7 linked regions of the Nothobranchius furzeri genome follow. The protein of the gene in region 7 interacts with the protein of the main gene of each other region in a pairwise test. Links are inferred from orthologs where the notes say so. Each region holds a gene or a part of one and is shown on either strand. Other genes may lie near its edges.

Evidence for each region.
Region 1: the proteins of RNA-binding protein with multiple splicing (region 7) and tfg interact in binary tests that used the Homo sapiens proteins (3 or more experiments, as listed by UniProt). The two-hybrid records come from large-scale screens. The link is inferred for Nothobranchius furzeri from reciprocal best matches to the Homo sapiens genes RBPMS and TFG.
Region 2: the proteins of RNA-binding protein with multiple splicing (region 7) and phf1 interact in binary tests that used the Homo sapiens proteins (3 or more experiments, as listed by UniProt). The two-hybrid records come from large-scale screens. The link is inferred for Nothobranchius furzeri from reciprocal best matches to the Homo sapiens genes RBPMS and PHF1.
Region 3: the proteins of RNA-binding protein with multiple splicing (region 7) and metal transporter CNNM3 interact in binary tests that used the Homo sapiens proteins (3 or more experiments, as listed by UniProt). The two-hybrid records come from large-scale screens. The link is inferred for Nothobranchius furzeri from reciprocal best matches to the Homo sapiens genes RBPMS and CNNM3.
Region 4: the proteins of RNA-binding protein with multiple splicing (region 7) and alpha-1,6-mannosylglycoprotein 6-beta-N-acetylglucosaminyltransferase B interact in a two-hybrid assay, tested with the Homo sapiens proteins (2 studies listed by BioGRID and IntAct). The two-hybrid records come from large-scale screens. The link is inferred for Nothobranchius furzeri from reciprocal best matches to the Homo sapiens genes RBPMS and MGAT5B.
Region 5: the proteins of RNA-binding protein with multiple splicing (region 7) and ntaq1 interact in binary tests that used the Homo sapiens proteins (3 or more experiments, as listed by UniProt). The two-hybrid records come from large-scale screens. The link is inferred for Nothobranchius furzeri from reciprocal best matches to the Homo sapiens genes RBPMS and NTAQ1.
Region 6: the proteins of RNA-binding protein with multiple splicing (region 7) and ccnk interact in binary tests that used the Homo sapiens proteins (3 or more experiments, as listed by UniProt). The two-hybrid records come from large-scale screens. The link is inferred for Nothobranchius furzeri from reciprocal best matches to the Homo sapiens genes RBPMS and CCNK.

What each region holds. Positions count from the first base shown.
Region 1 is NC_091754.1:27,495,393-27,499,323, reverse strand, and holds the start of tfg (protein TFG), read right to left. Parts: upstream 2,801-3,931; 5' UTR 2,659-2,800; intron 808-2,658; 5' UTR 779-807; coding exon 595-778; intron 488-594; coding exon 404-487; intron 1-403. Other genes in the region: jagn1a (protein jagunal homolog 1-A), read right to left, coding at 3,628-3,931. UniProt on the Homo sapiens protein: Plays a role in the normal dynamic function of the endoplasmic reticulum (ER) and its associated microtubules. Required for secretory cargo traffic from the endoplasmic reticulum to the Golgi apparatus.
Region 2 is NC_091745.1:62,283,622-62,287,121, forward strand, and holds part of phf1 (PHD finger protein 1), read right to left. Parts: intron 2,296-3,500; coding exon 2,217-2,295; intron 1,145-2,216; coding exon 1,029-1,144; intron 1-1,028. UniProt on the Homo sapiens protein: Polycomb group (PcG) that specifically binds histone H3 trimethylated at 'Lys-36' (H3K36me3) and recruits the PRC2 complex. Involved in DNA damage response and is recruited at double-strand breaks (DSBs).
Region 3 is NC_091746.1:39,517,447-39,520,542, reverse strand, and holds part of metal transporter CNNM3, read right to left. Parts: intron 1,692-3,096; coding exon 1,561-1,691; intron 1,081-1,560; coding exon 954-1,080; intron 759-953; coding exon 714-758; intron 1-713. UniProt on the Homo sapiens protein: Probable metal transporter.
Region 4 is NC_091752.1:49,948,782-49,952,281, reverse strand, and holds part of alpha-1,6-mannosylglycoprotein 6-beta-N-acetylglucosaminyltransferase B, read right to left. Parts: intron 1,293-3,500; coding exon 1,219-1,292; intron 555-1,218; coding exon 387-554; intron 1-386. UniProt on the Homo sapiens protein: Glycosyltransferase that acts on alpha-linked mannose of N-glycans and O-mannosyl glycans.
Region 5 is NC_091759.1:9,346,768-9,350,169, reverse strand, and holds ntaq1 (protein N-terminal glutamine amidohydrolase), read right to left. Parts: upstream 2,196-3,402; 5' UTR 2,102-2,195; coding exon 2,037-2,101; intron 1,848-2,036; coding exon 1,748-1,847; intron 1,537-1,747; coding exon 1,486-1,536; intron 1,404-1,485; coding exon 1,255-1,403; intron 1,185-1,254; coding exon 1,060-1,184; intron 972-1,059; coding exon 829-971; 3' UTR 501-828; downstream 1-500. Other genes in the region: ribosome biogenesis protein bop1, read right to left, coding at 3,150-3,303, 3,390-3,402. UniProt on the Homo sapiens protein: Mediates the side-chain deamidation of N-terminal glutamine residues to glutamate, an important step in N-end rule pathway of protein degradation.
Region 6 is NC_091742.1:21,076,091-21,079,057, reverse strand, and holds the end of ccnk (cyclin-K), read right to left. Parts: intron 1,910-2,967; coding exon 1,838-1,909; intron 1,528-1,837; coding exon 1,004-1,527; 3' UTR 501-1,003; downstream 1-500. UniProt on the Homo sapiens protein: Regulatory subunit of cyclin-dependent kinases that mediates activation of target kinases.
Region 7 is NC_091742.1:66,831,331-66,834,830, reverse strand, and holds part of RNA-binding protein with multiple splicing, read right to left. Parts: intron 1,913-3,500; coding exon 1,785-1,912; intron 1-1,784.

The sequences.
Region 1 (3,931 bases), on a different chromosome or scaffold from region 7:
GAAGATAGTTTCAGTTTTATTGGTCCTTTTGAAGCTTTATATAGAATTAGGAATCATCTCTTTGCTACCAGTTTTCTTCTCTCTGAGAAACAAGAACTTAAACAACTTTCAAGACTTTTGTTCAATAAAAATTGGGACAAGAATTAATAAACATTTAACTTTAGGCATGAACAGCACTACGAACCTCTATAATCATTATTTGTTTGCTCAACCACAGAGACACAGAAGCTCCACCAAAGGTTAGTGATTGGAGATCAGCAGAGTTCATTTATTCAGAGGTTTGTTTTGTGAAACATAAGCTAGACTGTCCTCTAGTGGCTGGCTGATGTATCTGCAGACCATTCAAATCCACTCAGGCTTAAAGTATGTGACAGAGGCATGGAGAGCAAGCGCAAAGTCTTACCAAATAATGTCAGTTTGAGTATTCTACTGCATTGGATTGCAAAGGAGAGGTCAGAGCTGTCAAAAATAGTGATGAGGTCATCATCTGACAAAGGAAAAACAAAGACCAGGTGAAATTTATATTACAATTATTTTACTCTTAAGTAATTAGAGTAGGGGAAACCCGGGCACCTGAGCTGTGTCCTGACTCACCTTCATCCTTGTATTTGATGGTGACCTCGTCGTTACTCTGCAGCTTGCCTCGGAAGACACGCTGCATCATCAGCACCAGTTCATCATATGTTATGTCTTCGTTGTGAATAGGGATGCGTCTAATGTCATCGCCCAGCTGGGCTTTGATGATCAGCTTCCCACTCAAGTCCAGCTGGCCGTTCATGTTGCCGTCTGACCTCTAAGGCTCCACCACTTGGTCCAAAAAGAGATGCAGTATTAAAAACAAGTAAGTTGCTTTTATTAAAGCTCTTTTTTTCCACTGAACATCAATAGTTCTAATTTAGCCATATACCAGAAATGGTTGGATGCTATAGGAAGTATGTTTGATTCAAATAAACTACAACTGCATTGAAAATGAGCCATTTCTGCTGTAACTCAGCCTCCTGCTGAACAAACCGACCTTAGGATCTGCATAGTCTAAGGGTCAAACACTACTCAGTGATGTGGCAAACACACTTAAGTGATTACAAACCTTCTTGTTGACTTAGATAAATCTGAACCACTTTGATAAGAGAAGCCTTTTACTGGTCTAGTACCAAAAAGTAATTTAGCACCATTATTAGAACCGTTTGAAATGTCTGCTGAAATTAAACCATTTCCAAGTTGTCAAAATTCACTATCAGCAACTGATTTCTTAGATCACGATTCTCAAACTGAGGCGTTTGTAGGACTTGTGAGCAACAGATACAGTGAGGAAATCTGACTGATTTCAAATGTGTCATTTCATATGGGTTAGAAAAAAGCTTATGGTTTGTGAAAGTATGATCAAATTAAACCTGCACACTTCAATGGGATTAAGGGTTATGTTTGCCCATTTGTGTCAAATATGAGATTGTAAACTGAACTGTGATGTAAAATGGGCAAATTACAGCTAAAACTTGCAATTACATTTTTGCAATTGTCTGTGAAAACAGGTGGTACTATGTGATATTGGCATTTTCATAAGTGGTACTCATAAAATGTTTAATAATTTAAACAGCTGGCACTTGATTATGCATTTCCATGAGAGTTGTGATTTTAGAGGTCAATTCAGCATCACCACAGCTGTGTTGAAGTCAAATTATAAAGGATTGCCTGCTGTTAATTCAAATTTGAAAACAAAACTCAATAATATAGGGAAAAAAATACTGATGGCCATTTTTATGAATGTGGAAGTTATGACACCTAACTTTGCGGTGATTCCAAAAATTTGCTAATATATAAATAAAATGTTACATTAAACAAAACTTCACTGTTCGTGATTGATTAATCTGTCACTTATTGCTAATGTGTGGTCGCCAGCTGATACAGTGGGCTGAACAAAATCCCATTGTGAATTGAATTCCAGAAATGTTGCGGCTTTAGCAGTCATGGCCAGATGGGTAATTAGCTAGATGCTAGGGATTGTGTTGTAGCTAACGTTTAGTACACAGCAGCATAAACTGGTAAACAAAAAAAAAAAAGCTGGTTTCTACCGGGAGAGGGGTACTAGATGAGAATCAAATGACAAATGTAAGAGGGCTGTAATTGGGGTGGTGCTGGCTGAGTGCTAGACACAGAATTCACGGACAGCTGAAGTTTTGACGGGCCACTTACAGACTGACATGTCAACAATCACAATATAAATCACACAAGCAAAGTAAAAAAAAAAAAACAGCAACACTATACTTTTATGTCACATCATTTGAATATTACACTAAAACAGACAATTTTTACTTGATTTTAAATCACCGAATCCGTAAACAGTGATTTCCTGACAAGCTACATTTGGAAAAAAACAAAGCTAAAGAAAGACCGTATATGCCACTTGTACAAGTGTGCCAGCCTCACCCTGCTAAGAACGTCTCACTCTTTTACAATATAACTTTCTACGAAACAGTCTTAAAAAGCTGCTTGGAAAAAAGTTAAGTGGCGTTAAAGTGACGTTAGCTCAGAGCTAGCACTAGCCAGTTAGCGCTAACCACATAGCTTCACAGCGAACATGCAATCATGACACACACATTCCCGTGTGCTTAGGTCTCAATTATATTACAGCGAAACTCTGAATCAAATAGCGGATTTTACCTGAATCAGACGACTTAACCACGCAGTACCTAACAAGCCTCACCAAAGCGTGAAAATTACTTGATATATTTAGCCAGCCTAGCTAGACCCAGGAAGTGTTCTCCGGATAGTCAACGTCAACAGTACGTGGCACTCTTTACGCGCAGGCGCAGACGGCAGCAAAGTGTGCCACCCTAAAATTGGAACATTACAAAGCATGAAGTCATTATTTATGTTCACAGGCATGGATGTTAACGTAAACGTATTTTTTCCACATAGAATACTATCTGTTTATTAGGCAATTTCATAATAAAAGAAGTCATTTCTCAATATTGTAAAATTATAGACAAAGAAAATCAAAACACTGCCTAAAGTAACCCATTTTTTATTACTACTAAGCATATTTTATATTTATAGTTAATGAAATCATGTTACCAATGCAAAACATTCTGGTATATACACATCTACGTTTACAAAGTTGTATTACTTCACTGTTATTTGACAAAGCTGTAAACAAAATATAATCAAGTGATGCTAAACATATAATTATTGAACAGTGCTGTTTTATTATGTTTCATAATTAAAATTAGTCAAACATCAAGGTTCCTGCACATGCAAAAATAAATAAATAAATAAAATGAAATAAAAACATTGGAATTTATTTTTGGTTTCCCACATTTGCTTTTTTACTCCTTACCACAGTGAACTAGTTGTATTGTGCTAGGTGAGAACTTATAATAACGATAATCTTCATAAAAAATAAAACATAACCCAAACCATTTTAATGCCTTATATTTAGTATCAGGAAATAATAAGAGTTGAACAGAGAATACAATTTTTCAAATTGAATTATACTTCATTAAAAACTTGGTGTTGGAAAACAATAAAACCAAAAGACTTATGTTATGTCATAAAAATAAAACAGACCTCAAAATAACACAGCTAAAATATACCAGATATTTTTGCCTAATCACAAATATTTTAATTTAATTATTTCTTCTTTTTTTCTTGCGTGGTGTTGAACCATGAGTCTAGCAGACTCTTCATGTAATATAGCTGCCATGCATGCACTTGAATAGCCACCACCATGATGAGGTACATAATGGTGACTGCTGAGAAGCCAAAAATGAAGCGGTAGGCTTTTCCGTGGCGGTAGAGCTGCTGTGCTACGGGAAACATCTCCATTCCTCCATAAATAAGAGGTGCAATAGAGAACAGCCCAGCACTTATCATGGATAAAACCAGGTAGCTGATGTTGTTTTTTGGTAGTGATAGGCTGCTGCAGAGCAGTGGG
Region 2 (3,500 bases), on a different chromosome or scaffold from region 7:
GTTGATACAATTCAGATCATCTTCAAAACTCCATCCCATGCCCAGGGACGTATCTAAGCATTTTGGGGGCCGAGGCAAAATAGACCCCTGCCAGGTATTTTAAGTTGAAGTGCTATCTGTTTTTATATTAAGACTTTTTAAATTTGCAATAAAGTCCAAAAGTGAAGAATTTATGTTATTTATTAATTGATTGTTCAAGCTACCTCACAGATTAAAATAAAAAGTGAATTAAATAAAAAATAAGGAACATTATGGAACTGTTTCTTCCTTTTCTTTATTTATTTATTTTTTATGTATCAAAAGTATCGGATCGGGACTCTGTATCGGCAGATTCTCAAAATCAAATGACTCGTACTCGTACTCGAGGGCAAAAATACCTGATCGGGGCATCCCTAGTTGTGTGTAATGAATCTAATATATATGAAAGTCTAATGTTTATCAGTACATTACAGACAATAATGAACTTTATCACAATATGCTAATTTTTTTTAGAAGGAACTGTACATAGGAATTTATAAATGAACAGTATAAAGTGAGAATAGTAATATAACAGTGCATTTTAATGCTGTTATCCAGCTAGAGGTGCACGTTCATGAACGAGAGGCATTGATTTTGGCTGTGAATACAAAAATGGTGAGAAAAAATGTGAGATACACTTGTGAGCCTCTAGATGGTGACACTGAGAAAAAAATACTCTGGGTTGTAGCTTTAATTGAAATGTAAGTGGACCTGGAAAATATGTTTTATAGGAATGCAAAAAATACATTTCTTGTTATTGTGAAAATAAATACCACATAAATATTTAAACAAAAGCATTCAGTAGTGAGCTGCAGTGAGCCACACTCAGGTATGTTGTATTTATTTATTTTTTTCCAGTGTTGTTAAAAAACATAAGATAAGAAATGATCACATATCAGTAATATTTCAAAACAAAGTGTTGTGGTTAACCTTCAGCTGGTGAAAAAAAATAAGAATAAATAATAATATTAGAGAACAAAGCAAAAACAACCTGTACAGACAGCCCTTACCACATGTTAAGCTCCTCCTCCGACTTCCTGGAGTTGTAAAGGTTGGCTCCTCCCATGTAGCCATGGCAACATGGCAGCAGCTCAACAGGGTTGGCAGTAACCGGGGGTTGACAGGTCTGGGCAGAGGGGAGACACAGGGATCAGCTGGTGTCTGAACCAACATCATCAGTCCCTCCAAAACTGTTACCTTTGTGCTCGCTCGAGTGTCAAGTTCAGGTTTTGGGGTATTTTGTGTTTTTTGTAAACTGTCCACAGCCCAAAGGGTTAGTGAGGAAGCTGCTGCTGACTCATACAAAGTAAAAGCATCACCTAGGAGGTGGTCACCACACAGCAGCACACCGAGCCACTTCTGTAGCATGGCGGTTATGATGGGAGATTATTAATCAGAGGCTTCGGTTTATGTCTGCACCTTTAAACAGAGACGTTCTGTCAGAGTAGCGCTGTCAAGGTGCCAGCGCCACCTGGCCAAAATGTAATTGACTGCAAAGTGCACTTGGAAGTGATCCCAGACTCCGCATATCAGCATTCTTACCCATCTCACTTTCCTCAGACCTACTCCTCCAAGACAGACTGAGATTAGCATCCGTCAGAGGAGAACAATGGAGCTTGGATGAGCCAAAGTGGAGAGAAAAACAGGAGCAGTGCAGAGCGTATTGTTCCAGGATTTCACTACGTGCACATACACAGATCAGAGCGATGTGTAGGAGGAACAAAGCACGACGAACGTTCACGCTTAAGAATGCAGAGTAAAAATAGTAACCAGCACATGTGAGACTGCTTGTTTCAGAGCCGTCCGCTGGGAATCGGCTCTGATGATGCTGATAAATGTGTCGTTGAATCGCAGGTGTTGCTGAAATACAAGAGCAGGTTTTAGCAAGATTGGATCTGAATTATACATTTTAGCGGAGCGCCACCACGTTTCTCAAAGCTACTTTTAATCTATTTGTGTTCTCTAACACATTAGCAGGCTTTAAGGTTCCTGCTGGGAGGAGAGAACAAACACAGAGGCAGCGGAGTGTGAAAGGAGCAGCAAGGCTGAAGGAGACGGCTCTGTGAGAATGACGGGTTATTTGGGTCACACAAGGATGTTTACCTGGGTGCATTTAAAAAAAATAAGAGGAAGAAAATGTAAGCCAGGAATAGTGGCCCAGACCCCCACCCCCCTCCTCCTGAGACAGAGGCGCTGACCTGTGTCTCCATGATGCGACGCTTTGATTTACGAGACTCCGGCCCTCCAACTCTTCTCTGGCAGGGTAGTGACAATGGGCTGAGGGGAGAAAACACACGCATACATTAGCAAACACCTTCCTCTCTGGATGGGTTTGATTTCTCATCATGGCTGCATGAGGGTCTGCTGATGGTGGTTCTAACATGTCAGGGTATTTCCTTTGATCTGTTGAGGGTCTGACCTCATGAGGAAATTACTATGCAGTGATTTTCTCCAAAATGACTGTGCTTAAATTGCTCTGAAAAGCAAATAATCACATCAGCGCCAAGAAACTTCATTTCCCATGATGCTTTGCACACGGAAGCATTGTGATGACGTCACCGCCTAGTACCAGAAACACGTTCTGCGCATGTGCGGGAAGCCGTGGAGTTTTCCCGCAAACTAAGACCATAAATCTTCAGCAGAGACAAAGAAACCTTGTTCTTTTGCCCAGGATACCTGGCGGTGAGGACACGCTTGTCGAACGCTCCGACTTCTTTGAGCACGCGGAAGCTCTAAGTGCCAAGTTGAGCCACGGAACTGCTGGAAACTAAACTGCAAGCCCATCAGATCTGCTCGTTTCTGCTCCCCTCCAGCTGATGTTTGAGGACACAGAACTGCGGAGGGAAACAACAACTCCATCCAGCTCTCAGAAACGCTGTAAGTTGTCAAACTCAGCCCAAAAGGAACTTCGTTTTCTTTGTGTCCAGCCGTGGAGAAACACTCGTGGAGCCAAACAACGGAGAAAGCATCAAACCGGCGGATGACGCTGAAAGCTGCGGAGAAACACGGAGAACCGTCAAATCAAAACAGTGAGGGACGCTTCACTGTTCTGGTGATCAGAAACTCATCTCTTTCTCTCATTCTTTCCTTCTCCCGTTTCCTCTATAGTCTCGAATAAGCAATAAACCGCGTCTATTGCTTAAAAGTAGCTTCGTGTTTTCCTCTTTCGTCCCAAACACGTCCGTCGGGTCATTTTGAAGAATAAACTGCTTATTGATCATTGTTTGGTATCTTAAAATGGTTTCTGTCATGGCCAGGCTGAAACTAAAAGATATTAATTTGTGATTAATCTTTTGTGTTGTTTCATGATCTTTTGAAATGTTTTGAGTGATTTAAGGTTAAGTTACTACTGATTCTAAGTGCTTTGGAAGTTAAAGTGCAAGTTGCCACCCACACTTTAGCCAGACAAAGGGGTCAGCCATCTTGTATTCAAGACTCCATTTTGAATCCATACACACGCACACACACACACATACACACTA
Region 3 (3,096 bases), on a different chromosome or scaffold from region 7:
CCTGCCCAAGGACACTACAGCAGCATTCTCTGGTGGGAGCTGGAATCGATCTTACAACGTCCCAATTACTGGACAACCTGCTCTACCTCCTGAGCTACTGCTGCCTTTGCTGCACTACTTTTTAGTATCTCTCTAAAAACTGTGTAAGGCAACGGGCTAACTAACTAGCCATTAGCTTGTCAGTCTGGTCAGAACTAATCCTTGTTTCTTCAAACTGAAGTTGTTCACTAGATAACAAAAGCTTATTAGTTTTTCCACAGACTTAAAATATCTTAACTGTCACATTGACAAGTGTCCTTCACTACCTGAGAACCTCCAATATGAAACCAGAGAAACCAGTTCATCACTGCCTGTGGCCTTTGTTGATAAATAACCTTTTCTGTGCTGTGTGTGTTGCAGTCACTGGTTTGTGAAGGGAAAGGAATGGGTTTTCTGCTGTAGCTACGGAATTCAACAGGGAATGGTTTAAGGGAAACAAAATCAAAGTAGAAAAAAAACCCCACACATTTTGCTTTCTCTCACACACGCACACACACACACACATACTGACACATTTATGGGCACAAAATAAAGCATATTAGGAGTATCACTGGGAAGAGAAACAGCTCTGAAGCATGATGTTATCTGAGTGAGTGAGCTGTATGTTAATTTGATTTACCTCATGCAAAAATTTAACAAACAAACAAACAACAATGACGACAACAAAAACTAACAGTAGTTCTCAATGGTGTCAAAGAATGAAAAGTTTACAGGAAACTCTGGGTGGGCCAGAGACAAGAGGAGGCACACAAGGAGGAAAAAGAAAGAGAGAGAGAAAACATTTTTAGTTCAGTTGAAGGAAACAGAAAAGCACAGTCCTAAACACTCTACGAAGGCATCAGAAACACAAGAATGTTCTGAGGTTGTCGAAGCAGCAGAGGCTGCAGGTCAGACAACACTTTGAGCTAAGCTACCTTGTGCAGTGTTTCTCTCATTGAGCAGCTTTGTCTGACTGTTGGGCAGGACTTTGATCTCCGGTGGGTCTGGACTCTGTCCGGAACGAGACGCCATCAGAGCATTCAGATACTGCAGACGCGTCACCTGCAACACACACACACACACACACACACACACACACAAATGTCATAATTACTTGTGTTACTGGCTTTGTGTATATTATGTCCTACTCTGCTATAAAGCCTGAAAATGAGGTCCAAAGAAGAGCCCAAAATACCTCCAGAGGCCCGGAGAAGTGCTCCTGTTTAGAAAATATATAAAAAGGGTCTGCACACATACGGATCTTTTATTTACATATCATAATCATATCTGGAGAAGGAGGAGGAACAAAGTTGATCTGAAATACAAATCTCAGGCTACCATCAGTTTGAGCTACCATCTTGGTTTTAGTCGGAACTTCTTTTGCTTTTGCTCTAGATTGTTGTTGAAATGTTTTGAAGTCTAGTCCACCCTGCTCATGTGATGACTGACACCTGCTGGTTCATTCTGGAACTGCACATAGTTGTGAAGATGACGTAATGCCGTCAGTGTGAGAACAAACACTGGTGCATGCTGCATACACACCCGTATGAGCTGCAGGTCAGTGAGAGCTCGGACCGTATAGTCGGGACAGTAGCTGGAGGAGCTGGAGGCGTCTGCAGACTCAAACGGATCCCTGGGAGAGTGGCGCTGGGTCGCCACTGGAGACTGATGCACTGCACCACACACACGCACACACACACACACGCACACACATGCACACACACACACACACACACACACACACACACACACACACAAATCAGCATGTCTGCAGTGTTGAAACAATCAGCCACTGAAAATCAGGATTCACAAAAAAAAGAAATTCATAAAAAGCTAAAAACATCTTTTAAACATGCCCTCTGAGAAAAACTCCAGATATTTGATTTAATGGAAACTCAAAAGTTTTTTCTTAGTCTTTTCCTACGTTTTTTTTTTAGTTTTTTATCTTTTGCACAAGCTATTTGAAAATGTTTCTGATTCAGTGAGCATATGATTGGATCTCATCAATGTTGTTTTGCTTTTGACCAGAATAACAGGGTTTTTCTCATTTCTACATAGTTAAGTTTGCTTCAGCACACGTCCTGACCTCATGACCTCTAAAACCCAGCTTCTCTTCGCTCTCAGATCAAGAAGAAGAAAAGATCTTTTCTATAGCACCTCTCAAGATAAAAATCATGAAACGCTTTACAAAAATAAAAAATGTAAAATATAAAAACTAATTTAGAAAATGATTGAAAATATATTTAAAATGAGCAAAAATAGACAATTTTGATTTAAAAATGTGAAGAAAGGGAGAGAGAGTGAATAGGAAAAAGGGAAATCAGTGGATCCTGAGGAAGGTGGAATAGGTGGGGAGGGCAGAATAAAGAGAGAGTGGTGAAGAAGGTCACACAAAAGCCAGCTTGAACAAATGAGTTTTCAGCTGCTTTTTAAAGGAGACCACTGAGTCCTCTGATCTCAGGCTCAGGGGAAGAGGGTTCCAGAGTCTGGGGGCCACAGCAGCAAATGATCTGTCACCTTTGGTCTTTAGCCTGGTGCTGCACAACCAGTAGGCTTTGGTCACTGGACCTCAGGGACCTGCTGGGGGTGTAGGGACTAAGAAGACCACCAATGTAAGATGGTGCTTGTCCATGTAAGGCCCTATAGACCAGAACCAGGATCTTGAAATGAACCCTGAAGTTGACTGGCAGCCAGTGAAGCTGGAGGAGAAGCGGGGTGATGTGGGTGTGTTTGGAGGACTTGGTCAGAAGCCGAGCACAGGCATTCTGAACCACCTGTAGACGGTTCAGGGAGGTTCTGCTCAGACACGTGAAAAGAGAGTTGCAGTAGTCTAAGCGTGAGGAGATGAAGGTGTGGAGAACTGTCTCAAGTTCAGAGCGGGACAGAATGGGACTCAGCTTAGCAATGTTCCTGAGATGGAAGAAGGAAGAGCGAACAAGAGAACTGACATGAGAATCCAGGGTGAGAGCTGGGTCAAAGGTCACGCCAAGATTCCTGACAGAAGGTTTGGTGTGAGAACCAAGCTGACCAAGAGAGTCTCTGACTTTGGGAACCAGCTTGTCTGGGGCACAGATGAGG
Region 4 (3,500 bases), on a different chromosome or scaffold from region 7:
TAAAATTGTTACTTTTAACACATCTGTAATATCCCTTTTATATGTGATGTTGAAATATTGTTTTTAATTAGTTACTGATTCATTTTAAATTATTTATATGTTTATTTAAGTAAAGATTTTTACACACCCATTATTACTTCCTAGAAATTAGCCATTATTTTAATGTTTACATAATCTAGATTAACATCCTAGATGTTCTGGGCTTTTTCACCAACTGTGTTTTCCTGTTTTATTTGTACCTTCCAGGCACTTCACAAATGTGGTTGCATTAGTGGCTAATGTTTTCACTCTAAATGACATTATTGCCATGTTCGATGTTCCCCCTCTTCAGCCGACTGTGTTATTATAGTGAACGTAAAACTAATGGTGTGGAAGTCGAATGCTACCTGTTTCTTGGGGAGAGGCCTCTGGGTGGGGGTAATGGTCTGGTTCCTCCAGGCCAGCGGGGGGCAGAACCACTCCACTTCACTCAGGTAGATGAGGAAGGAGCAGTCGGAGCCGTCAACGCCGTAAAACGCGTAGCAGGGGTCGGAGGTCCAACGAGTGCGCATCCACTAGACAATAAAGGTTGGAGAGTGGAACACTTCATGTATTCACTACTACATTTGTGCATTTTCACTTTCTACATTCAGGATACGAGGCAGATGGATTGTAACACAAATGTTTCCTCACAAATCAACTCCAATGACAAAGTAAAGCCTTTTTGTATGTCGAGATATATTTGGTGCAAAACTAAACAACAGGACAATTAAGACCTACTTCCATCACTGATGAGTACAAACATTACCTCTTATATGTTACCATGGTTACAATATCCCAGCTGTTGGAGCTATTTATATACATCTGATGTTCCAGTCTGTTGGACAAAGACTGAATCTTTCCAGACATGATTAACGAACAGCACACTTTAAACATGCTCTAGTTTTGTGGGCTTTATTTCCCCTTTGCTATTGCATCTACCAAATAGCATGTAGTGCTCTACTACATTGTGTAGTTTACAAAATGCCAATTAGACATAACTTTTTACTCCACTCTTCTCTGTGTAACACATGCCTTTTCTGCCATCCACACCTATGTACGGTAGCTTTCAGACTCTGAGTTTTCAAATATTTCAAACAATTTATTTAAAAAGAGGATGGTGAATTTTTGCCCAGGGAAGTCATTAAGAAATGACAAAAGTGATAAATGCTTTCTGTTCAGTTGGGCGTTAGGACTTACATCCATCTTGCTGGTGCAGTCTGGGTAACGGGGATCTTTGGGAGTTTCACATAATCCGAAGGCTCCTTCCCGAACTGGAAAGAAAGAAGTAAGAAGTATTTCACTCAAAGCTCTCATTCACTATTTTTTTAATAAATTGTGTGTGGTTTCTAGTATAAATGAATGCATTGGGAGTTGTTCTCTGTAGGAAAAAAAACTCTGGTGTTCCTTTTTCAGGAAGGAGAAGTCAGGCAGAGAAAAGGTGGGCAGAAAACGGCAGGATTTGGAGTCTTATCCATGGATATTTGGACAACTTGCTTCTGATTGGCTACAGCAATGTGGCCTGGCCTGACAGACTCATCCTCTGTTTGATTCTGGACAGAGAAAGAGTCTGGTTACTCACAGGCAGAGAGGCACATGAGGGGCGGCTAGCCAGCTCAAAAATAACCAATCAGAGGACGGAAATGCAGACTGCACCGCACAATGCTGTAAATTTTTAGCTGAAGTCAAAAATGGCGTCTGGCAACGGCGCGAAAAATCTTTTTTTTTTTTAGAAGAAAGGCTTTTAGCGCTTCTACTTGTTGTGGATTTAAAGACATTTCCAAGTCATTTAGAACAGAGGAAAGAGAAAACGACGCTTCAGTCTCCATGTTTATGACAAACTCGGTGTTGTGGAGTGTGACGTAGGCTACTCAGCGCTGATTGGCTCGGTTAGGATTCTCAGGGGGTGGGGTTATTTGAGTAGGAGAGTTCCCAGACCCTTTCTCTGCACAGAATTAAACAGAGGACGAGTCTGGCAGGCCAGGCTAACAGCAATGCAACCCAACCATTAACACTGCTTGCTTAGCAACTTTAGCAACGGCTAACAAATAGAAAACACGCCTCGGTAGAACATGAACATAGGAACACGCCTTGACGTTCCTGATGTATCTCCTAGAAAACCGGGGCGGGACCAAGATATCAAAGCAAGGTTCCTTGACATGAGAAGCACCACTTTTTACAGTGATAAACTCTTCTTCTGCCATTCCTGCTATTTACTGGTATTGATATCTTATTAGTGGCACATGGTGTTCAAAAGGAGAACTGCAGCATCATCAGCACAAACAGCAATATTTCCACACCCAAGTACGCTAGTATGCTCTTGCGTACTTGTCGAGTATAGTTTATTTGCATTGATTGTTTATATTCTGAATTGGTTTTGACTGCTTATTAGCTCATGCACCTGGCCAGAGACACACAACCAAACTACCCGTAGCTTTGACTTTTGGAAACATCTCATGGTATGATTGTTTTGGCATTTTTCCCCAGTTCATTTGATTTTCTTCCCCTTGCGTATAGTTGACTTACACCAAAGCATAAAACCATCACCAGAACATCCTTGCTGGCCCTAGAGTCTGCAAAAGTTCAAAAATAAAATATCATGCTCTCATTTCACAATAAAATACTGATCTATCGTATTTTCTCAGGAGAGAAATTTCATAAACAACCACTTCTTCCAGGAAGTTACCTGCTCACTGGCTTGGAGTAAAATCACTTGCTGGGAGCTAAAACGTGTTAATGACTGCGGTGCTTATGTGATGGAAGACTCGAGTTGCTATTTGTTCTGTAAAATGCAAGTGGCGATCTTGCTTTTTTCCTTTGCTTTTTTTGGCCAGAAGTGCGTGCACTGCTGTTATTGATGAGACCAGGTGACTTGGAGTCAGAGCTTTCTTAAACCTGCTGAATGGCCAAGTCTGTAAACTCACTCACTGGGTTTATTATTCAAATACCACATTAGCATGAATCACACAAATAATCATCCTACCTCCTGTTCTGTTCCCTTAATATTTTTTCCTTCCCTCTCCTTACACCCTTGCTACCTTTCCCCATCCTTCCTTCCTTCCCCCTTTCTTTTCCTTGAAGCCCGGCACCAGTAAGCCTAATTAAAGGAGCGGTTGCAGCTCCTCCACTGGCTTGCTGCCAACCGTCAAAGAGCACAATCACACAGACAAATAATTGCCAGCCATTCTATCAGATTAGCATGATAACGACAGACCTCTCACAAGGAAACACGCTACTACCTCTCGCCGTCAAAGCCAGGCTCTTCCCTGCCTTATTTTAATAACATATCAGACATTATGACGAGAGGAGAAAAGTTCTGGCATGTTTTAATGAGACAGTGTGTTAAACTGTGTACAGTCAAGTGCACGCTGAGGATTGAGAAAAAACATGAGGAAACTGAATTGTTAATTCACTGGATTTCTATTTTCTGTTGTGTGAAGTAGCTGAGAATGAAGGTTATTAGAGAAGGCTGGCGAAACTAG
Region 5 (3,402 bases), on a different chromosome or scaffold from region 7:
TCCAGAGCCGCTGGTTGCCGACCCCCGTCCTGGTCAGAGTTGTTGTTGTCGCTCATGTTTGTTCTAAAGAGATGTGCATTTCTCAAAGGGACAAAGAACTCAAAAGAAAATAATCTTAAAGATTGTTTGATTGATAAAATAAAACAGGTTGCTTACTTTATCTGGATGTTGCTGTCCTGAGCTTCTTCCAGAAAAGAATTTGAAACCAAACATGCCTGATCCTCCTGTTTAAACCAGTGTCCTAACCACTCCTGCCATACTGAACACAAACATATGACAGGTGAAAGTGATTGCACAAGTTCCACCAGTCATCTATAACGGTAAATAGAACTTATACCCAAACACAAATCTGCTGTTAACTAGAATCTGCATAATTTCACCAAGTTTTAATTGTTAAAATATTCTGGAAACCAAGATTCAAATTGACACCAAAAGTTACAATTATACATTTAATTTTTATTCTATCATTGCGCTACAGAGACAGAGAATCCAACGCGATCAAAGATTAAATAAAATCTTTTTATTTCTCAGGAACTCAGGTGAAATCAAGGTGCTGATGCTCAAAGTTCTCACAGGCGTGTGTGATGAAGGATCACTTCAGTTTCCAGATGAATCTGTGACATGGCTGAAGCGCTGTCGTCGTCATGTTTCTGGTTTCCTCTGAGCTTCAGAGGCCAAGGTGAAACTCAAGAGAGGTCAAACGAGATGCAGCTCAGCCCAAAACATAAAGTTCAGTTCAATGTTTGTCTCAGTCTCTCAATCATTTCAGATTAAATGTTCATAATAACATAAAAGCTAATCACAAAACAGCAGCTGCCAGGATGCTGATCAGGATTGAGCTGATGATGAAGATGAAGAGGTGGTGGAGGAGCAACCTAAGTATTTCTGTAGAAACTGATTCAGACTGAAAACTGTCCCCCAGCCAACAGCTGGGCTCATGCTGATGAAGTCATCCAGGTTCATCTGACACCCTGAAGAGGAAATGCACCAAAAGTACAAAATCACCTTTTCCTAAGACAGGAATCAGAAAACATGCTCCACATTAACTTGATTTGTTACCAGTGGTCTTTAAAGGGGGGTAAGAGGGAGGGGGCTTCTTCCAGCTCCCATCAGGGTTCTTCATGTGAGTTCGATCAGACGCAAAGTTCAAGAGGAAGCTCTCAGCAGGAATCACACGCAACTTCCTGTCACAGATATGAGAAGGTGTTGGTGATTTCACTCCAGTGCATTACCTGTGTAATTCAGCAGTGCTACCTGTGATATTCAGGTTTGATGTGGTGGTCTGAGCGGAGGGCCTGGCTGCCATAAAGCCTCAGATTGCATGGGAATGACAGCTCTGTGTCCAGATCATAAACCAGAACCTCCGACTGAGGATCCACATGAAGCAGGATCACATGGTAGTCCTAAAACACCCAAAAAAACATGATTAACAATGTATTATTTTAATGCTCTGAGGCCACTTTAACAGGAAGGAGAATCATAGACCCAGATCACTGGATGGTCAGCGTGTCCAGACTTCTGCTTCCACAGAGGAACCTGAAGGAGAACAAATAACATCACTGATCAGCAGCAGCAGCAGAAGTCAGATCTTAGTGAAAATGTTGATTCTTTATACAAACTTGGCAAATTTAAGGGGATTCGTGATGATTTGTTAAACTTTAGACCTGTTGAGACTAAATCTGTTGAGTTAAATATGTTTAAAGGGTTTTGTAACACATGACAAACTTCTCAGAGCTGATCTTCTCACCATTCTGTTGTCATTAGAGATGAAAACCACAAAGAGCTGTTCCAGTGGAGCAGTCCTCGCTGTTTGAACAAACTCACACAACTTCCACACATTCTCCTCACTGCAAAGCAAATTAAGACATCACTAATCAAACAGCAAAAATAATCTAATAATAATAAAATCATATCCATAAGAATGTAGCAGCTACCATTTAAGCCAACTGCGTTTTGCTACAAAATTTGATGAATAATTATGTAAAACCCAACAAACTGGAGTTTTTTTTAATCATGATGTAACAGAATGGATTTACCAGTAACAGCTGGTGTAAACACAGAACTCACGACTCGGTGTGATTCGATCCTTTACTGCCTTCATGGTTCGGTGTTACACCGAAACCGCTCCGACGGTGTCACTTCGAAATGTGTCCCCATGGTTGAAAACTCTTGTCACATCAACTTCATTATAAAGAAAATTGTTTGTTTTTTGCTACAAAATTTGACGAATAATTATGTAAAACCCAACAAACTGAAGTTTTTTTCATGATGTAACAGAATGGATTTACCAGTAACAGAACTCGCGGTTCGGTGTTACACCGAAACCGCTCCGACGGTGTCACTTCGAAATGTGTCCCCATGGTTGAAAACTCTTGTCACACCAACTTCATTATAAAGAAAATTGTTTGTAGTAAATATTCTAAGAACATTTTGCAGACCCTGGTACCCGAATATTTTCGTTAAACATAGTTCCCGCTTGTGTTCAGCACAACTGATACATAAAGAAAGCTGATATTCTTAGAGATTTTATTCTTAAGAGAGGCCTTTAACCTGGTTAAACAACAGATACAACAAATATTCCCAGGCCTGCGCAGTCGTGCATTTACATGGTTATTACAAATACTTTTACTATTAGAAACAAGCTTTGTACAAAATACCCAAAAACTTGGTTCAAGTTAAAAATATCCATAATGATGAAATTTGAAGCACAAATACTTTATATTTGGGATAGTCCTAATTTCTGCCTCTGGCAACAAAACAAACAAACAAAAAAAAAAAACCTTTAGAGCTGTAATTATGTTGATAATTTTAGATAATTTTATTTCCTTTTTGAAAGCTGTAATAAATGGTCTTGTTTTTCAAAAAGGTAACCGCAACACAAACTCCTTTAAAATGAAGGCAGACAAATAAAACTACATTTTGTAGGTTTTAAAAAAAGAATCAATAATTCTCCTAGTTTTAACATACAGAGACAAATTGTAAGAACAATATATTTTATTGAAAACAATAAAATACATTTTATTGAAAACAATAAAATAAACTACAGAAAACAAAACAAAAAAAAAAGAAGAAGGTATCCTGGTAATCAGTCCATTAGGGAGGTCAGACTCCTCCCACACACACACAGAGCTGCTGCTGGTTAAAACACTTTAGGTGAAGAGCCGGATGGTGGCGTCAGCTCCTGAGGAAAAGACCCACGGCTGAGTGGGGTGAAAGATCACGTCCAGAACACCAAGATCGTGGGTGATCACATGACCTCTGAGAACTTTTACAGGTACTATCAGCGGGTTCTGAAGCAGGTCGCTGGAAGAGACGGCGGCAAGTTTTAATATCCTGTCTTTTATAAGTCTTGTTATGAATAGATTTTCAGGGTGTGTTTGTGGTCTTACTTGTAAACAGTCC
Region 6 (2,967 bases), about 46 Mb from region 7:
CGACAGCCCACTCCGTCCCATCTCGTGTTCTGTTCCAAATGAGAACATTTCTGAGGAGGCTCCTTTTAACACAATGAGTGGGAAAGGAAGAAAACTAATCAATAGTACTATTTTGTAAAAGTGTCCTTTTTTTCTAGGAACTGATTGAAGCCATGATACAATTTTGAATTTCTAACACACGTTTGGTAGCTGGGTTTTGACCTGAAAACCAGACTGTTTTATGCATCTTTACTGCTTCTTGTCTTCTGCCCATTTACTAAAACCAGTACAGCCCCCCTAGAATCTACAGCATCAGTGTTTCCCCCGTAGCCATAGCAACTAGCATGACTCCTTTTACTGATATCAACATTTGACCAGAGAAAACATGAAATAGGCCACTTTTAGAAAACTTTGAATAAACGAGTTGCTAAAATTTGCTGAGTTTTTGTCTTCATTTCAAAAAGAATGGCTGGGTTAGGCTGCCCTCTGCTGGTGAAGTACCATACTGCACACAGATCCTGCAGAGTTGAGGTATTTTTAATATTTTAATGACAAATCTCCCAATTGTCCACAATAATTTGAACCACTATTCTTAATTGTTAACATGTTGCTGAATTTTCTTGTTTTACCACAGCTGAATGTAAGCCGTTAAAAATCCATGTATTGACTGACAGAACAACTCAAAGGAAAGCGCAACCATGCTGTGGACCATTTTATTACTCAACAATAACTGGAGAACTTCTAAGGTGGAAAAATAAGAAAAGCATGAGTGAGAGCAACAATAATAAAAAAGGAAGATATTTCTTTGTACAGTCTCATGAATCCTGAAGGCAGGTTTTCTGAGAGCCATCCTAGAGATGTTTCTACAAACCTGTTTCTCATCACACAGTAAGTCATCACTTTTTACTTCAAGTTCCTTTTCCTGACAGCTCATCAGCACAACCCCGCAGTTATCCCAGAAAAACTCAACTTCTCTTAGTTTGTAGCAGAAAAACAACTTCCTGGTTGTCAGAATGCTTCATCCTCATCTCATCCACCCACTGCGGTTCAGAGGCATGCCAGGTGGGGGTGGCAGGGGCATTTGTGACTGTCCTGGGGGACCAGGAGGTGGAGGAGGGTACCCTGCAGGTGGCAGCCCAATCCCTGGAGGGGGCACGTGTCCAGGTGGCATACGTGGAGGTGGTGGAGGAGGATAGCTGTTGTATCCTGGAGGTGGATAGGCTGTTAGGTTGGGCGGTGGGTAGGCGGCAGGAGGCGGAGGACCCGGTGGGGGAGGCGCTGCAGCTGGAGGATAGACAGGATGATAAGGGGGTATTGGAGGTATGTAGCTGGGCGGCATGGGGGCGTAGGAGGGACCTTCTGTCTTCATCATAGACTGTAAGCTCTGGTAGCCCTCTCCAGACATGTAGGAGCTGGTGGTGGACATGAGGTAGTTGGAAGGTGGAGGTGGAGGAGGCCGGTGGGGAAGTGGAGGAGGCTGGTGAGGAGGTGGGGCGTGTGGAGGAGGTGGTGCAGCTTCACTTCCTGGTTCTGCTTCAGCAGGAGGAGCTGGAAGAACAAACAAAAACCGTGACCTGAAATGACCTCGGTTCTCAGACAGGCTCACAGGAGGTCTCGTTAACGAGCTTAGCCGCTAATCACATAGGTCTGGAGATTAGGCCAGACCAGCTGGGATTATGTCCGGTCCCAGCTACCGAATAACTTTATTAAACACCGTTCCAAGTGCAGCTGCTTTTTCCTTAGTGATTTCAGCGTTATTAAATATTAATCATGACCTGAATTCAAACAAGCACAAGTCAAACTTGCTTCTAACTTAGAAAAGAGACAAAGGTGGTGAACAACAACCAGAGGTGGTCACCTGGGGGGGGCTGGGGAGTGGGCAGCGGGGGCATGGGGCTCTCCAGTCTGGGAATCTTTGACCCAGCTTGTTCTGCAAAGTGATCAAGAATGTGTTAAAGATGTGTTCAGATGTTCATTAAGGTGATTTTTCACAGCCAGAATAAGTATTTATGTCTTGCTGTATTTTAAAGGTGCAATAAGTGAGTTTTACAGCGATATAATCCCAAAACACTCTCGGATATTTCTAAGTGGGATTTGACACAAAATGTCCACCAGATGTTTTCATCAAGCCAAATATTGAATTCATACAAAGAAATCAGAATGTTTAAGTTTATAAGTTGAGTAAGTCATAATAAAGTGAAATGACAAAGTGAACAAGTATCAAACACGCTTTAATAGTTTGTAGGAAAGCCTTTGTTGGTGACTCCAGCTTCTAGAAGCCGCATGTATGGAGAGACCAGCCATCTGGCCCATTCTTCCACACAAACACTAAATATTGATGGTTCCTTGGGCCTCTTATGAACTTTGATCTTCAGGTCTCTCCATAGATGCTGTGGCAGGGGTATTCAATTCTGGGCCTGGAGGGCTGGTATCCAGCACCTTTTAGTTTTAACCCTGCTTCAACACACCTGATTTCAATCAGCAGCTAATCGACAGGCACAGGTGATTCAACAACTGAATCTAGTGTGTTGGACCAGAGAAACCACTAAAGCGTGCTGGATACCGGCCCTCGAGGACCCAAACTGAATACCCGGTTTTATGGGGTTTAGATCAGGTGATTGACTGGGCCATTTGAGCAACTTGATTTCCTTTCTCTGAAACCAATTCATTGTTTCCTTGGCCTTGTGCCTTGCTGAAATATCAGCCCTCTTCATTTTCAGTAGTGATGATGATGTGAAGCCTTTTGAACCAACAAAGCTTTACAATCCAATTGTATTGAAAAAAGGTTCAAGGTTCGATGCTTCAAAACTCTGGGAGGACATCTGCTGGTTAATGTTTGTATTCCATTGTATTGTCAGCCAATTCTACTGAAAATGAATGGTATTGAACTTTATGGACAAATAAAGCATTAAAAAGCTTCCTCAGGATCATATAATAATAGTATCTTGAATTTGAACATTACATTAAATATACTAAAATTGCTTTTCT
Region 7 (3,500 bases):
AGAAGACCGGCAGGGCAGAGTCTCAGCTCAGATCAGGACAGAACCGGAAATTCTCCACAGTTCACCGTCCTTGTAGAGCAGCTGAGTACACCTCGTGGAGTTTTGTTATTATGAGGAACCAGAAAATGATGGAATGAGGCATCAGAGAGTTATAAAATCTTTCCAGCGGGTAAAAAAAAAGCACATTCACCTGCTCTGTGTGATGTTGGGACATTGGATTACAGAATCAAGTAGTTTTTTTTTACTATACCACAGATTATTATGGCCAAAAATCAGCAAACGTGAGACAGAATTTACGCTTTTAACTTCATGAGATTAGCTTAGTTTGTTTTGCTGCTGAGTTCCGGGACTGTTGCAGGTAGAGTGATGGTGCTTATATTGTTGCAAAGAGGAGAAACTGGGCTTTAATTTAAATGGCTGCTTCTGAGGACAGGATCATGTCTTATTGTTGCTACTGTGTGTTTTTCTCAATATGTGTATTTAGCTACTTTTCAGCCTTCCTTTTTATTGTCATTGCTGAGGTAGAAAACATGGAATCTATCATAAGAATGGTAAACTGGCATCCCCTAGTGGTGATATGTGGATATCGCATCTAACAGATGGCATTTCTGTGCCACACCCAAAATAAAATTCAGCCGCCACTGCTGATTATGTTCAATTGGAATGTTTGCTTTGCAAAGTGCCTTGATGGCGCTATATAAATTACTGAATTGAATCTGTAGCTGTGTTTCTAGATTATGAGGTGTGAATAAGTAACTATTAGATTTAGTTGGATTACTATTTTATTTTATGAATTGAATTAAAAAAACATTTACAACAAGTTAGTTTTTTAGAATTGGGTTTACATTACGTTTTAAAAGTACTGTTTAATTTCTTCTAAAAATCTTAAAATTGTTCCTTGTTAGGGCTCTAAAAGGCTTTTTTATCTCAAGGGGCAGTCATTTTTTCAAATACATGAAGTCAACGCGGAAGTGACAAATATTGCAGTTCAACCCTCATCTGGTAGGTGCTGGAACAAAAACAGAGAAATCCTCATTGACTCCCATGTTAAAAATGCCAACTTCACAGCAGAAATAAACATGTTTACCGCCTGGTTCATAAACCCATTTTAGGTTTAATAGATCCAGTTTACACTCATGGGTGAATTTTTTTGTCACTCTTCCATTTTAGGTGTAATTAAACGCTTGAAATTATAAATAATTACATTTGATTGACAGGTAGCGTGAGCATCAGAGCTAGCGCATAGCACTGTTTGCTCAAAGATGGGTTGAACTATAACGTGTTGTTGAGGCTGGCTGGGTAACGAAACATGAGCAAGGTAAGTTGACCGAGGCTAGCTAGCGGAGGCTTCCGCGCTTCGCTGGTTACACCATGGTCAAAGATCTGCTAGGTCGCCGCTGCAGAAGAGGTTTGCTGAGTTTCAGTAACATGCCCATCCCTTTAAAAGTGACGGACCGACAATCAGAGATCTGATAATCTGTTGTTCCATCCTCCCGGAGACAGCCCAACAGGGAGGGTACCCGGCTTCTCCGATATCCTGGCTGTTCCTTTCTCCTGAGGGAGCTAAGCCGTGCTGCCACCTGGCTTTCTGGCATCCTCTACTGATCGCAGAAAAACAGCAAGGGAAGTGACACCTACAACATAACGTAGGCGAAAATAAAAACAAAGCTTTGCTACTCTGTGTAGATAAGAACCAAAAATAATGGAGCGGGATCAGAGGGCTGACTGGGTGGTGGTGAAGGAGCAGCGACGGCTGGTAATGGGGAACAGGTGGTGTTGGTTACCTGAGCGTGGAGCGAGGAGGGGTAGGTGAAAGCGGGTGGAAGGGCTGGCGACAGCTCTGCCGGGTACAGCGGGTATGACGCCCACACATCTGGGCTGCTGGGATATAGAGCAGGCACTGTGAGCTCATCTGTGGAAAGAAGAGGAGTGGAGTGAGGAGAGTGGCAAGTGAATGGGTGGGTGGATAGAGAGGCAGGGTGGAGGTGGCAGTGATGGTGGTGATTGTGGAGGTGCGCACTGGGAGGGACTATTAAGTATCTGAAGTTGAATCCTCTTATCGTGATTCTTTAAACCAAAGCCCAAAAATGTCTGATCAGCTGACAGCAAGCCTGTAAAGATTCCTGCTCATGTTTCCCTCATTGTCTTTTTACGATAAAAGCATTAAAGTCATGATAAAGATGAGTAAAAACATTTAGCTGAAGAAGCTAAAACATCCTGCCTTTCCCAATAGAGTACTGCTCTGAAGCCCAAACCAGTTTCCTGTAAGCCCATGTCCCCACACACACCAGTAGTGCAGGGAGAGCTACCCTCCAGTAAACCCAGTTAGGAAAAGCTGTGTGACCTTGTATTTTCCAGAGATAAATATCAAAGAAAAATAAACTATTTTTTGTAATTATTGTTAACAAAATATAAAGAAGTAGGAATGTTTAGTATATTGTTATGATATCCATGCATAATGTGTGTATGATACAATAAGATAAGCTATTTAATATCACCAAAACATAAATATGTTGCTATGTTTTGACTATCTTAAATTTGTTGTAAAATGTATGCCCTGAATTTAACCGCTGGTCTACTTTAGAGTCTGTAGCTCATAGGATGAATAAAAGACCTTACAATAATTATTGTTAGAAATGTGCTTAAAGTGTTCATTTTAATCTTTTGCTTTCCAAAATTAAGCTAGGTGCTGTGACCGGTGCGTTTGCACCTCCAGTTACACCCAGCTGAGATGGTTGTCATGGTTACATAGCAGTATTGCAACTTACCTAGATGGGGATACTGATCAATAACTTGTTAGACCATTAAAATATTTTTAAACTAGAGTTAGCTAATGATGCTAGCAATAACTTGGTGGCTTGCAACTGCTGTGGTTGGATAGCCTAGCGCTCTAGACAAACTGTAGCGACAACAAAAACGTTTGCTCTGCAGGTTGGTTTGGCCACGCTCCATTGTAGCTTCAGCAAGCCTACCATTGGCTTGGTGTAGTGTAGATTCGGCCAATCACAACACTCTACAGCTTAGATGACCACTGCCCAGCAACGGTGCTCATTTGAAATGGCTTTGGCATCAACTTTGTATGATTTAGACTTGGGTTCCTTTTTGAGACATGAGCAGAAATATATTTCTTCTTCTTCTACGGTGTATGGCGGACGGCCTCGTTGTCTGATTTATGCTGCTATGAATCCATCATGTTGTTTGTTGCTCTGATTGGTCCTAGCGCTGTCCAATTGCATGCAGACAGTTTGAAAGAAAACAGTAGTTTCTGCCCCATGACTGAGCTGCATATGGGTCATGGCCATACTATACATTTACAAATATAGTACAGCTTGCCAAGCTAGTATTTGGATGGCTATTGAGTCAAATTAAAAGCTTACTTCAGTCTGACTTGTAATTTCCCAAATTTCTTCAATCTTTGTTGGAAAAAACATCTTTGTGACTCTAATTTGCTTACCTTCAACGCATTAACTGAAAGCTTTACAGGCTAGCAGCAGCAGCTA